Linked DNA regions of Schizosaccharomyces pombe. Each later gene encodes a partner of the first gene's protein in a complex. Each region holds a gene or a part of one and is shown on either strand. Other genes may lie near its edges. A codon is read from its position in the direction of its gene.

Evidence for each region.
Region 2: the proteins of rpb7 (region 1) and rpb4 are in contact, whole or in part, in a crystal structure (PDB 3H0G), measured with the Schizosaccharomyces pombe proteins. Residues at the interface, in NP_001342741.1 of Schizosaccharomyces pombe: Phe3 (codon at 3,868), Phe4 (codon at 3,871), Leu5 (codon at 3,874), Lys6 (codon at 3,877), Leu32 (codon at 3,955), Glu36 (codon at 3,967), Gly37 (codon at 3,970), Gln42 (codon at 3,985), Tyr43 (codon at 3,988), Tyr45 (codon at 3,994), Ile47 (codon at 4,000), Cys48 (codon at 4,003), Val49 (codon at 4,006), Leu50 (codon at 4,009), Asp51 (codon at 4,012), Val78 (codon at 4,093), Arg81 (codon at 4,102), Phe83 (codon at 4,108), Arg84 (codon at 4,111), Gly85 (codon at 4,114), Glu86 (codon at 4,117), Val87 (codon at 4,120), Asp89 (codon at 4,126), Ala90 (codon at 4,129), Ile91 (codon at 4,132), Asn103 (codon at 4,168), Ile104 (codon at 4,171), Gly105 (codon at 4,174), Pro106 (codon at 4,177), Asn108 (codon at 4,183); in NP_595415.1 of Schizosaccharomyces pombe: Glu8 (codon at 4,553), Asp9 (codon at 4,550), Ala10 (codon at 4,547), Leu15 (codon at 4,532), Glu18 (codon at 4,523), Phe19 (codon at 4,482), Glu22 (codon at 4,473), Asp23 (codon at 4,470), Met24 (codon at 4,467), Leu25 (codon at 4,464), Ile34 (codon at 4,437), Val37 (codon at 4,428), Gln40 (codon at 4,419), Arg41 (codon at 4,416), Val54 (codon at 4,332), Met55 (codon at 4,329), Lys57 (codon at 4,323), Thr58 (codon at 4,320), Tyr61 (codon at 4,311), Phe62 (codon at 4,308), Val64 (codon at 4,302), Phe65 (codon at 4,299), Arg67 (codon at 4,293), Phe88 (codon at 4,156), Gln92 (codon at 4,144), Thr95 (codon at 4,135), Leu96 (codon at 4,132), Cys97 (codon at 4,129), Cys98 (codon at 4,126), Glu103 (codon at 4,111).

Annotation. Positions count from the first base shown.
Region 1 is NC_003424.3:2,898,427-2,905,209, forward strand, and holds rpb7 (DNA-directed RNA polymerase complex II subunit Rpb7), read left to right. Parts: upstream 1-3,657; 5' UTR 3,658-3,861; coding exon 3,862-4,335; exon of another isoform or gene 4,336-4,402; coding exon 4,403-4,447; 3' UTR 4,448-4,707; downstream 4,708-6,783. Other genes in the region: P-type calcium transport ATPase Cta4, read left to right, coding at 1-3,268; tcb3 (tricalbin), read right to left, coding at 4,943-6,783.
Region 2 is NC_003423.3:1,053,920-1,060,235, reverse strand, and holds rpb4 (DNA-directed RNA polymerase II complex subunit Rpb4), read right to left. Parts: upstream 4,728-6,316; 5' UTR 4,575-4,727; coding exon 4,523-4,574; intron 4,485-4,522; coding exon 4,379-4,484; intron 4,334-4,378; coding exon 4,256-4,333; intron 4,182-4,255; coding exon 4,010-4,181; 3' UTR 3,734-4,009; downstream 1-3,733. Other genes in the region: pre-rRNA processing protein Esf1, read left to right, coding at 1-714; cho1 (putative phosphatidyl-N-methylethanolamine N-methyltransferase), read right to left, coding at 1,169-1,229, 1,285-1,814; ubiquinone biosynthesis protein Coq7, read left to right, coding at 2,961-3,611; Gtr1/RagA G protein Gtr1, read left to right, coding at 5,532-6,316. UniProt on the Schizosaccharomyces pombe protein: DNA-dependent RNA polymerase catalyzes the transcription of DNA into RNA using the four ribonucleoside triphosphates as substrates. Component of RNA polymerase II which synthesizes mRNA precursors and many functional non-coding RNAs.

The DNA.
Region 1 (6,783 bases):
TCAGTACAGCTTCTCTTTTCAACGTAAACGGTTTATCTATGAACCAGAAAAAGGATGCTTCGCAAATATAACTTTTCCAATGGATGAACCTTCAACTATTGGGACTCTCAAAAAAAGTACAGGGCTTACCAATATTCAATCTGAAATATTTCTTTATCGTTATGGTAAAAATTGCTTCGATATACCTATTCCTACCTTTGGTACTTTATTCAAGGAGCACGCAGTTGCTCCATTTTTTGTCTTCCAAATTTTTTGCTGTGTTTTGTGGTGTCTTGATGACTACTGGTACTTTTCTCTTTTCTCAATGTTCATGATTATTGCTCTTGAATGTTCAGTAGTATGGCAACGTCAACGTACATTGACCGAATTTCGTACTATGAGCATTAAACCTTATGAAATTCAAGTTTATCGCAATAAGCATTGGTTCCCTATCTCTACCGAAGATTTGCTTCCAAATGATGTCGTATCTGTCCTTCACAATAAGGAAGACAGTGGGCTTCCATGTGATCTTCTTTTACTTTCAGGTTCTTGTGTAGTAAATGAGGCTATGCTTTCTGGAGAATCTACACCTCTGGTTAAGGAATCTATTGAGTTGCGCCCCGAAGAAGCTGTTATTGATGTCGATGAGCTTGACAAAAACGCTGTTTTGTTTGGAGGAACTAGGGTTCTTCAAGTAACTCAATCGCCGTTTTGCAAACTTAAGACTCCAGATAATGGTGTTCCTGCAATTGTTCTTCGTACCGGATTTGAAACAAGTCAGGGTTCTTTGGTACGTACCATGGTATTTTCTTCGGAAAAGGTCACTGCAAACAATCGAGAAAGTCTTTACTTTATTCTATTTTTGCTAGTGTTCGCTATTGCAGCCTCTGGATATGTTTGGCATGTCGGCAGTAAAACTGAGCGTAGCAGATACAAATTAATGCTCGATTGTGTTATGATTATTACTTCTGTTGTCCCTTCTGAACTCCCTATGGAGCTTTCTATGGCTGTCAATGCCTCATTAGGTGCTCTTTCTAAATATTATATTTATTGTACTGAGCCATTTCGTATACCACTCTCCGGTCATTTGGATATCTGTTGCTTTGATAAGACGGGTACCTTAACTGAAGAGCATATGGTTGTTCAAGGTATTGCTGGAGTTAATAGAAAGGATCCTTATAGTCTTGAAAAATTAAGCGATGCTTCTAACGATGCGATACTGGCAATTGCTACGGCACATACCTTAGTTTTGCTGGAACAAGAAGGTGAAACTCCCAAAGTCGTTGGTGACCCCATGGAAAAGGCTACGGTTGAAAACTTGGGTTGGTCTATTGAGAAAAAGAATTTTGTTTCAGCACCTGAAGGTTCTGTTTTTTATAAAGGTAAAGTTCAAATCATTCGAAACTTCCAATTTTCTTCAGCTTTAAAAAGACAGTCTTCTGTTTCCAACGTAAGAGTGTCTGGAGGAAGTTTTAAAACTTTTGTTTCGGTAAAAGGAGCCCCTGAAGTGATTGCTACTATGTTGCGGGAGGTCCCTAAGGATTATGAAAAAATTTATAAAGATTATGGTCGTAAAGGGTCTCGAGTACTCGCCCTAGGTTATAAATATTTTAAAAATTATATCCCTGAGAATCAAGTTTCTGATTTGAGCCGTGAATCTATTGAGTCTGACCTTGTATTTGCGGGATTCCTTATTTTTACTTCTCCTCTTAAAGAGGATGCTAGGCAAACTGTGCAAATGCTAAACAATTCTTCGCATCGTTGCATGATGATAACTGGTGACAATCCTCTGACCGCCGTATATGTAGCTGAACAAGTTGGTATTGTTGAAAAGCCAACCCTCGTATTGGATATTAAGCATGAGAATGAAAAGATTTTAGAGTGGAAGAGCACAGATGATACAATCAATTTACCCATGAATCCTCATAAATCGTTGGAAGCTTCGTTGTACGAAAAGTATGATCTTTGTATTACCGGTCGTGCTTTGTCTCAAATTATCAATCCGGACGTTATTATGTCAATTTTTACTCACGCTTGGGTTTATGCGCGTGTTTCTCCTTCTCAAAAAGAATTCATGATCTCAACTTTGAAACACAATGGATATATAACTCTTATGTGTGGTGATGGTACCAATGATGTGGGTGCTCTTAAACAAGCACACGTTGGTGTAGCTTTATTAAATGCTTCGGAAGAAGATATGCTTGAAATGCAAGAGAGAGCTCGTAATCAGAAGTTGATGGGCGTTTATGAAAAGCAAATTCAACTTGCTAAAAGATTTAATCTTCCAACTCCTCCTGTTCCACCTGCACTTTGCCATGCTTTCCCTCCTGGTCCTAACAACCCTCATCGTGAAAAGACTCAAGAAGGCTTAAATAAGGTCCTGGAAGATTTGGAAACTAAGAAAGCTAGTGATGTTCAATTAACGGAAGCTGAGAAAGCTGCTGAAAGACGGGCAAATCTGGCTAACAAGATGTTTGACACTTTAGCAAACGCTTCTGATGATGAGGCACCGAAACTTAAGCTAGGAGACGCTTCTGTTGCTGCACCATTTACTTCTAAATTAGCTGTAGTTTCTTCGATAACCAACATTGTGCGTCAAGGTCGTTGTACTTTAGTTGCCCTCGTTCAAATGCATAAGATTTTGGCTCTCAACTGTTTGATCACTGCTTACTCGTTGTCAGTACTTCATCTGGATGGAATTAAATTTGGTGATACTCAATACACTATTTCGGGAATGTTAATGTCTGTTTGTTTTTACTGTGTTTCACGGGCTCGTCCACTTGAAACTCTTTCAAAAGAAAGGCCTCAAGCTGGAATTTTTAACACTTACATAATTGGTTCTGTTTTAGGTCAGTTTGCTATTCATATCGTTACCCTTATCTATATAACTCGTGTCGTTTATCTGTATGAGGATCCTTTAGAAAAGGTGGATTTAGAAGAAACCTTCAAGCCTTCTTTGTTGAATACTGCCATTTATTTGCTTCAACTTATTCAACAAGTCTCAACGTTTGCTATCAATTATCAGGGCCGTCCTTTCCGTGAAGCTTTAAGTGAAAATAAAGGAATGTACTATGGCCTTTTGGGCATTGCCTTTGTCGCTATTGCTGGTGTAACTGAGTTTTCGCCTGAACTCAACGCAAAACTTCAGTTAGTTAAAATGGCTTATAATTTCCAGATACAACTGTTAGCCACAATGGTTGTAGATTACGCGGCTTGTTGGATTATTGAAGAGCTTATGAAAAAATACTTCCGTGACAACAAGCCGAAGGAAATTGTTCTTCGTAATTAAGAACAATTATATAAGTGGGTTACACCTACTTATCTGTACAAGCTTAGATAAATATTCATTTGAACAAACTGATGAGTAATTGCATTACTCACTGATGGGCAAGGATGTCAATTTTCTTCGGTCAGTATACAATATTTATCACCATTTTCAATTTGATTACTTGTTATGAATATTTTACATAGACTCAATGATTGATTCATTCTTGGCATATTTGATTTATTAATTTGGAATAGTGTAAGTGAGCTTTTTATAGGACGTAATAGATGCTTATTAGAGATAAAATAATATTCACTTGTTAAAATCCTTCTCAGTAGCAAGGTGAAAGGCATATAAAATTTGGGATATTTCTATAAGCGCTATCCCATGATACTGGGACTTCGTAAATCCTCGAACGCTCAGCATATATCAAGCAATTGCGAAAACCGCTGAAAAATTGGGATAATTTAATTTAATAAAAAGAGCTAAGCTCATTTAAAGTTTTTTTTTTTAATGTTCATCATTTTTGCCCTATTTTGAACCAAAATTTTACAGTTTTAATACGCATCGACCGATCGAGTTGAATTGGGGCTTTTCTGCATTAACTTATCGATACAATGCCTTTCTTCCTCAAAGAGCTTTCGTTAACGATTTCTCTGCATCCCAGTTACTTCGGTCCTAGAATGCAGGACTATTTAAAGGCAAAATTGTTGGCGGACGTGGAAGGCACATGCTCAGGTCAATATGGCTATATAATTTGCGTTTTGGACAGTAATACTATAGATATTGATAAAGGGAGGGTAGTTCCTGGGCAAGGGTTTGCCGAATTTGAGGTAAAGTATCGTGCAGTGTTATGGAGACCATTTCGTGGGGAAGTGGTCGATGCAATTGTTACAACAGTAAATAAAATGGGATTCTTCGCAAATATAGGACCATTAAATGTCTTTGTCTCATCTCATTTGGTGCCTCCAGATATGAAGTTTGACCCTACTGCAAACCCTCCTAATTATTCTGGTGAGGATCAAGTTATTGAAAAGGGGTCGAATGTCAGACTTAAGATTGTCGGTACAAGGACTGATGCAACCGAAATTGTAAGTTTCCCAATAGTTCACAATATTTATTTTGCTTAATTAATCGTGTTACTAACATAATATCTAGTTTGCCATTGCAACAATGAAAGAGGATTATCTAGGCGTTCTTTAAAAAGATAAAATTTTAATTTGTCTTTTATTTCTCATGTTCATTAATTCAATGCTAACCATCGCGTATACTGTTATTATTAAGTTCCTTTCTAGGTCTCAAAGTTTATTCATGTAGTTGTAAAAGCGCATACCAACGTTTATCGATCTAAATTTTGGCTCTATTCTGTGGTAATGTTATGGCTAAAAGCTGCGCAATATCTTTAAAAAAAAATTTTAACTTTATATACCCTTTACACAACAATAGAATTTCCCTAATTATTGTATATAATCGCAATATCAATCGACGATTTCCTTATGAATACAATCTTGGGCTAGCATTTTATCTATTAGGAGTGCATAAGTCTTTATCGTTCTTCGGTAAATAGAAAACCATGAAAATATTCAAATACCTTATAATCAAAGTATGCATTTAACATAATGATAATATATTACTCAAATAAGTCAGAATGCGAAAACCGAATTGTAATAAAGAACTAATAAATAACAGAATGGAAAGTCACTTTGCCTTCTCGTGATGAATTCCTTTAAAACCACGGCTTATTCCTTTTCGCATTTTGTTCGTAAGGTTAGCCACCGAGGCAACCCCATCAACAGCAACATTACCTACAGTACTAATGCCTTTAAGAGGCATACCAACAATCGAAGCAGTCTGTCCAAGAATTCCTTCGACAAGAGAAGAATTTCCGGCGCGTTTGGAACGAAGGACCCATTTTGGGCTCAGAGTTATACGAAGATAAAGAACTCCTTGTTTGCTATCCAAAGGAATTTCATAGTTAGTCTGTTGTTGCTGTTGAAGAAGCTTGCAGTCGATTACACAAGAGCCCAAATGATCGTCCTTGTTACCAAAATCCCAATCAAAAACATTAGCAACAAAATTACAGGTTTGCTTGCAAGGAAGTTCGACCTCGAAACTTTCATTAAAAGTAGGATTTAACGTCCGCTTGTGCGTTTTAGTCCGGTACACTTCTTCTCCTTGCAACTCGAAAACAACGAAAGGATCAGACTTTCCATTGGAATCTGCGGCAGGGAGATCCGTGGCTTTTATGACATCGACGGTCATTTCTCCCATATTTTCGTACATTTCAACTTCCTCAAGTTTCACAGGAACAGGAGTTAGCCTAAAAGCGACCAAAATCGAAGCACCATCAGGAAATGCAATTTCCAGAGGTTTAGTAGCGCCTTTACTAATTAAATCGCGACTCAGCATAGTTTTGCTACCAACCTCCTTATCACCATCTAGCAGCTTGAAAGTACATTGAGAATATTCAAGTTGTCTGATGAAAGTATTGCCGTACTCATGCAGGGTAGCACCACCGGTGACGTTTAAGGCAGATGATAAGAAAATATGATGAGGTAAATCGTCTAAAAATATAGCTAACTCTTGGGCTGGCTTAGCTATTTTATACGAAATTATGTCGAAACCCATGAAGCCAGATTCAAAGTCTAAAGCTGCATTTACAGCTTCAGACGGCATAAGCAGTTCTGAAATCTTCTTTGGTTTTGAGGTTTTAACAGACGTAGACCCTCGAGAAGTTGAAGTGTTGTCGACTGCTGTAGGCGTTTTTTGGCTTTCCGGAAGCACTTCGATATTTACTTTATCAGTTGCAACAGTTGATGAAGCTTTAGGAGCGGGTGTCACATCAGGGCTGAGCGAGGTTGTGACAGCGGATGGGAAAAAGTCACATTTGAAAGTTATTGTTGCATTACCCTTTATACCCCGGGTAGAGGACAAAGGTACAGTTAGTTCTCGAGGGTCATGGTATTCCATTAAAGCACCATTTTCGCCTTGATTGATAAAATTTGATATGTTGATAGGGGTCTGTCCAATGAGTTTGTCTTCACCAGATGAATTGTAATTCATCACTTGTAAAAAGAAGATGTCATGTTTGGTAATTACGGGTGCATACATGTATTCATCCCAAAACGGATTTACATTGCTAGCAATGACCACTGTCCTAAACTGTTTCGTATTGTGGGACATGATGCGTGCGTAAGAATCACATTTTTTACCAGGAATCTTAGAGTGCAAATTATTCGCCGAACGTAAATGGATACGAATTGCACCGATGGGAGTAGCAAGAGCCATCGAAGAAATACTGTCGTTATTTAACTGAGCAGGTTTCCACATAACAGACATACGTACTCTACCGGATGGAGCATGTTGTAATGGAAACCATAAAAGACCCGTCTTAGTAGCAGCAAACAAGTCCTGCAAAGATACATTAGCGGTCCCAAAAGGATGCTCTGATTCCTCCGTGAATATTTGAACACCCAGAGTAGCATTCTTCCCTTCTGGAAGAAGAGTACCAAAGGATTCTTCCCATGATGGATTATTGT
Region 2 (6,316 bases), on another chromosome or scaffold:
GGCGCCAATGGTGAGATGGAGGTTACTTTTACTTCAGGTTTTGATGTTGATAACAATGCGAACTCTTCGGAAAAAGATGAAACCACTATTGAAAAATACAAGCGTAAGGCCGCTGAAAGAAAACAAAGACGGAAAGAATTGAGACAGCTTAAGAAAACAAAAGACGATGAAGGTGAAGGATCCGACGTTGATCTTGGTTTTGATGATCCATTCTTTAAGGACAAGGATGCTAGTCGTAACAATAAGAAAAACAAAAAGGGCAAGCATACTCAAATTGAAGATCCTACGGCCGCGTCTAAAGAAGAACTGGAAAACCTTGTTCGTGAAGATGAAAACGATTCTGAGCAGCTCGATCATTTTGACATGAAGAGTATACTGAAGGCTGAAAAGTTTAAGAAGAATCGCAAGCTTAAGAAAAAAGCCTCCAATTTGGAAGGCTTGCAGGAAGGATTCGAAGCTGATGTCAGTGACCCACGTTTTGCTGCTCTATATACTAACCATAATTTTGCACTTGATCCAACAAATCCTCATTTCAAACGTACTAAAACGGTGGAAAAAATTATGGACGAAAGTCGTAAAAGACGCTCAAATCAATTGGAACAAACACAAGACGGTAAGCCTGAGCTTAAAATCAAAAAGCGTAAAGCTGAAAAAGGAGATCAACGTCAAGAACTTGATCGCATTGTCAAATCTATTAAACGTTCTGGAAAATAAATTAGAAATTGTACTCTGTTTTTCCTCTTGAACGATTGGATTTATAGAGTTTGATTTTGTACATATAAATTGGTCAAAACGGGGTTTTTTTGGTTTGCTAATATATTTGTTTTGAATTTTATTTGATTTTAGAATGAAAGCACGTTAATTTACATGGTGTAAAATATTAGATTATTTTTTACATAAGTATGAATATAAAAATATCGGATCATGGTGTTGAGACCGCGATCAACACACTTAAATAATTTGAAAAAAAAAGCGTTAAACTATGCATAATTATACAGACGTTGAAGTCGTCAAAGTACATAGGGCAAAATCGGTTAAAGGAGGAGCGTTAGTAAAGGTAAGGACTAGTCATGAACAGAACATTCCATTTAAAATTGTTCCTTTTTTTTTTTTTTTTATAAAAAACTCTAATGAAGCTTTAACTTATGGCCACTTCAAATCAGCTGCTTCACTCGGATTTTTTAGCTTGCTTGCTATCACGAGCAGCGTAAATTTTAGCAGTAAAAGGTCTATTAATGGTTAGAGTAAAGAAAAATTTAAAAATTTAAACAGTTGGCAACTTACTCTTCAAATTTCAAAGCTATTCTATAAACGAAAAAGACTTCCAAAGTTAAAAGGAGGCCAGCAACTTTTCCATAACGCAGAGCTGTAGAAAGGAAACAAAGAGTAGAACCGTTGTACATTGGGTTATCGTTGACATTAAATGGGAAACCAGAAACACGCTCTGGAAGCAGAAATCCAAAGTAATCACCAAGATATGTACCAACAAGTCCTAGCTTATACATACTCGATAAGACAAGGACGCTGCCAAAACAAAAAATGAGCTTAGCTATACCCTGCACAAGAGGGTTCATGAAGATACCTAGCGTAGGTTGTTGTTTTAAAGCATTCTGATAAATTAAGTCACGAACTATTCCGGCAACAAAAATACAAGCTGCTAGCATGTAACAGGCCTTCTTAGAGTCGCCATTTGCCAATTTGGTCAAAGTCTTATGATTGTATTCTGAACGTGCAGCAATATTCCATAGCAGAGGGTTCAAAGCAATAGATACAGCACAAATTAAAAAAGAATTATTGATTTCAAAAATGGCCATGTTTAGCGAAAAATATGCTTTTATAAAAGGTTGATATAAATACGAAGTTGGTTTGGGGTAAAGAATCAAGCTCATTCAAACGACGTCTTTGATACAACGGAATTTAACGATATTGCTATTTTATAAAATAATGAGAGAAGGCCTGAAAAACATAAGTACTCATTTGTGTTTAAAAGATTAAATTAGAAAAAGGAAAGAAATGATTGATTTCGCATATTTCAAATTGTAAATTTTCGATGGGGGAGGTGGGTGTGGTTCTGGAGCTTTTTTTCTATAACAAAGAAAATTAATCCATAATGCCAAATTACATTCTTGAATTATTAAGCAAGTCAAAAATTAATTGTGATGGGGTGTCTTTGAGTCTCTACTTGTACTTGTTATATCAGTAATACTGGAAATTTGTATATCTTCGGATTCCCCTTCGGTTGAACTAGTAATTAATTTAAAGTTTTTTAAGCGAAAATACAATGTTGAGTTGAATTGGTTGGAAAAAAGATAGGAAATTGGAGTTTACTTTAAAACTGCAGCTTAAATATGTTTTTTTTTTTTATTGTTTATAAGAAGCATTTTATTATTGAACTTCTATATCCGTCAAGATTGACGAACACTATGAAACTGTAGCAAAGCCATTTAGCTAAGGAAAAAAATGATACATTGCTTCTTTCCTGAAATTACGCCACTGTTTATTGAATCTCTTAGTTTAAAAACTAAGTATGTATTTTTCATTTTGACTTAAAAATAAAGTTGAAGCAACTGGTATTCACTGCGTTAATCAAGCAAAAGAATAAACGACAAGTTTATCGAATATTTTATTCCATAAAAATAGAGTGAACATCAAATCACTTAAATTTAATTCCTTCTTAACTTAACCATCTAGCTTGAATTTTGCAGATTTGTTCAGAGATTGATATGAAATACACCTCAAGCCTAACGTGTTACTCAACTAAGCATTTCCGCCTAAAACGTTCGGTTTGGTAGAGAACTTCACATTCTAATCCTCCACACCCAATCAACATCATAGTCTCTTTCGTCGAATATTTCAATCTATTAGTGAATTAGAAATATTGGTTTATTGTTGATTAGTAAAATTTCGTTTTGAAAATTGATAACTCTGTGTAATTTCAGGCCTTTTTACCATTACAAAAGATGTTGTCACGTAGACAGTTAATACCCATTGCTACCAAGTCGGTTTCTCCTTTTCTTCGCTCCTCTATAACATGCCGTAGAATTTCGATGGGCCGTAAAGAACTGAGCGAGAAAGACTCAAATATTTTGGACAGCGTCATTCGTGTCGATCAAGCAGGTGAATTAGGCGCTAATCAAATTTACAAAGGTCAGCACTTTATCCTTCAATTTACCGATCCCAAAGTCGCACCTACCATTCAGCATATGTGGGATCAAGAAAAGTACCATCTCGCAACATTTGATAATTATGTCTTAAAGAATAGAGTCCGTCCTACCTTTTTACGTCCTTTCTGGGACATCGCTGGATTTGCGTTGGGAGCAGGAACTGCTTTGCTTGGAACCAAAGCAGCTATGGCTTGTACAGAGGCAGTAGAAACGGTAATTGGCGGACACTATAACGACCAACTACGTGAAACGGCTCATTTGGAAAATAAAGCTCCAGAATTTAAAGAGATTCGTAGCCATTTGGCAGAGTTTCGAGATGACGAGCTAGAGCATTTGAACACTGCAGTCGAAGGTTGGAACGCAAAGGAAGCTCCAGCTCATGCATTGCTTACCAATGCCATTCAAATGGGTTGCAAAGCGGCTATCTGGATGTGTAAACGATTTTAAATACTTCAAGTTTTCCTGCCTCAAACTCAACTTGCTAGTCCTTTATGAAGCAAAGAACGCCCATTTGATTCAAAATGTTTAGTTTTTCTTGCTTCACAATAGTATGATCCTTGTTAAAACTTACTTAATCTAATTAATACATTTTATCTAAATTCCTTTTCGCGTGTATTCAGTGTTTGTATTATATTTTTTTAATAGACTAATTAAGAAGTGTATGGTGCATAAAAAAACATAGATTTTGTTAAAAAAAGTTTTATGACCCCTCATAAATTATGGAATAATAATGACAAAAACGTCGTATTATAAATCCTGATATAGCTAATAGTTTATAAGACCGGAAACCTTTTAAGTTTTCATAATTGACAATAAACAGACTTGCCTGAGATCTATTTATTGCATTAATCTTGAAATTTACGCAAAGTGGAAAGCTCATCCAAGATGCCTTGAAGATTTTGGTCATCAATTTTATTCGCGAGACTAGGAATCAAGGTCCTAGCCTCTTCAGCGTCTTCGCAGCAGAGTGTTCCCAATTGTGCACGTTCAAATTTATGGAATCGATTACCAAGAATTCTATGAGGTTAGTCAAATATTTGCATACGGCTATTTTCCTCTAAAATTCTATTCAATTCTTTGAAATTATGTACCTTTCACATGCATAAGTGGCTTCAGCCGTTTTAAACCGAGCAAAAACATTGAAGTAAGCTACTGTTTTTTTCATCACACTATCCTAGTTAATTAAAAAAGAATATGCATACAATAAGACATACTCAGTCATTGGAATCTCACCATTAGTTTCGCGTGCTCGTTGTGCCAGAACTGTTTCAATAAGGATTTTGGCCTCTGAAACCGTCAACATATCCTCATTCTCAAACTCTTTTTATATTAGCAACAGAATAAAATTCAAATCCAACCTGGACCAAGTTTTAATTGTGCAGCATCTTCCTCAAAAATAGCCCTCGGCATTATGAATAGATGCTCGCAAACACTCTCTTCAGAATGTTGTTTTTTCTTTTTATCTAATTAAATCAATAACTATTATACAAATGTATTCCCAAAAATAATGTCAGAATGCTCTTTATGCACAACAACCAGCTTTCTTGCTGTTGCTTCGTGTCTAAAAATCGCGTCCTTGATTGCAGCATTTCTATAGCCGCTGCTAATAATAACGATATTTTATATTTATCTTAAAACTAAATAACGATTGTTCTTAATAACATTATGAATTTACCGAGATGTACGGAGATGTCTAAGAAAAATTTATTTTATTGATATTTCTTAATCATTTGTCTAGCTTAACGACGCCAGGGTTTTGGAGTATTTTCTCGTTAAAACCAAAGAGCTTTCTATTAAAATTATTCTCAAGTCTTTGCTTTAGAGACTTCGTATAGCTAAACGTTAATGCGCCTTAAAAACCTCAGATATGAGGATTCTTCTACTAATTTCGTTATATTCATTTGAAAATACGTTACATTCTTTTAAAGGGGTTATTTCTATTTTTACTGTGCTTAATTCTGAGATGAACCATTCGTTCTTGATTTATATGTTTGTTTTTTATAAATTTGTAAATTTATTTTTATTTTAATTTTAATTCTCACAATTTGACTTTGAATTTGATTTTTAATATGTAGGTTAAGGAAAACAGACTTCGTAACTTTACGATGTAATCGACTGAAGTGCATGTCGTTGTACCACTAATCAACTTAAACTTTTCTGTCTGCGGGATATTATAGAATCTTTTCGCATTCCTTTACCTACATTTCTCCCTTTCTTATTTTTTTACTTTTTCTTTGCTTGTGATTTTAAAAAAGAACGCATAAAAACACGAATTCACTCACAATTGCAGTGACAGCTGTTTTGTAGAATTTTATAAACTAATTGCTTTACCCTTAATCTCAAGATAGTTCTGTTATTCTAGAAAAAATGAGAAAAAAAGTCCTGTTAATGGGCCGCAGTGGCAGCGGCAAAAGTTCAATGAGAAGCATAGTTTTTAGCAATTATGTTGCCAAGGACACGAGAAGGCTAGGTGCTACAATTGATATTGAACATTCGCATGTAAGGTTCTTGGGAAATTTAGTTTTGAACCTATGGGATTGCGGTGGACAGGAGGCGTTCATGGAAAACTATTTATCTGCCCAGCGTGATCACATATTCAGAAACGTTCAAGTACTTATCTATGTTTTCGATGTTGAGTCAAGAGAATTTGAAAGAGATTTAGTAACTTTTCGTAATTGTCTAGAAGCAACAGTGGCCAATAGTCCCCAAGCTCGTGTATTTTGTTTAATACACAAGATGGATTTAGTTCAGGAAGATCTACGTGATTTAGTTTTTGAGGAACGTAAGGCAATTTTGTTAGAAACAAGTAAGGATCTTGAAACCACTTGTTTAGCTACTTCTATTTGGGATGAAACATTATTCAAAGCATGGTCTGCTATTGTCTATACTTTGATTCCTAATACGCCTACTTTGGAATCGCATCTCCGGGAATTTGCCAAAGCTGCTGAGGCTGCTGAGGTAATATTATTTGAAAGAACAACATTTTTGGTTATTTCTTCTTATTCTTCTGAGTCCAATCCTGCCACTGATGCTCACAGGTTCGAAAAAATTAGCAATATTGTTAAGCAATTTAAACTCAGTTGTAGCAAAATGCAAGCTCAATTTACTACTTTTGAGCTTCGTGGTGGTAATTTCTCTGCATTCATTGTTCC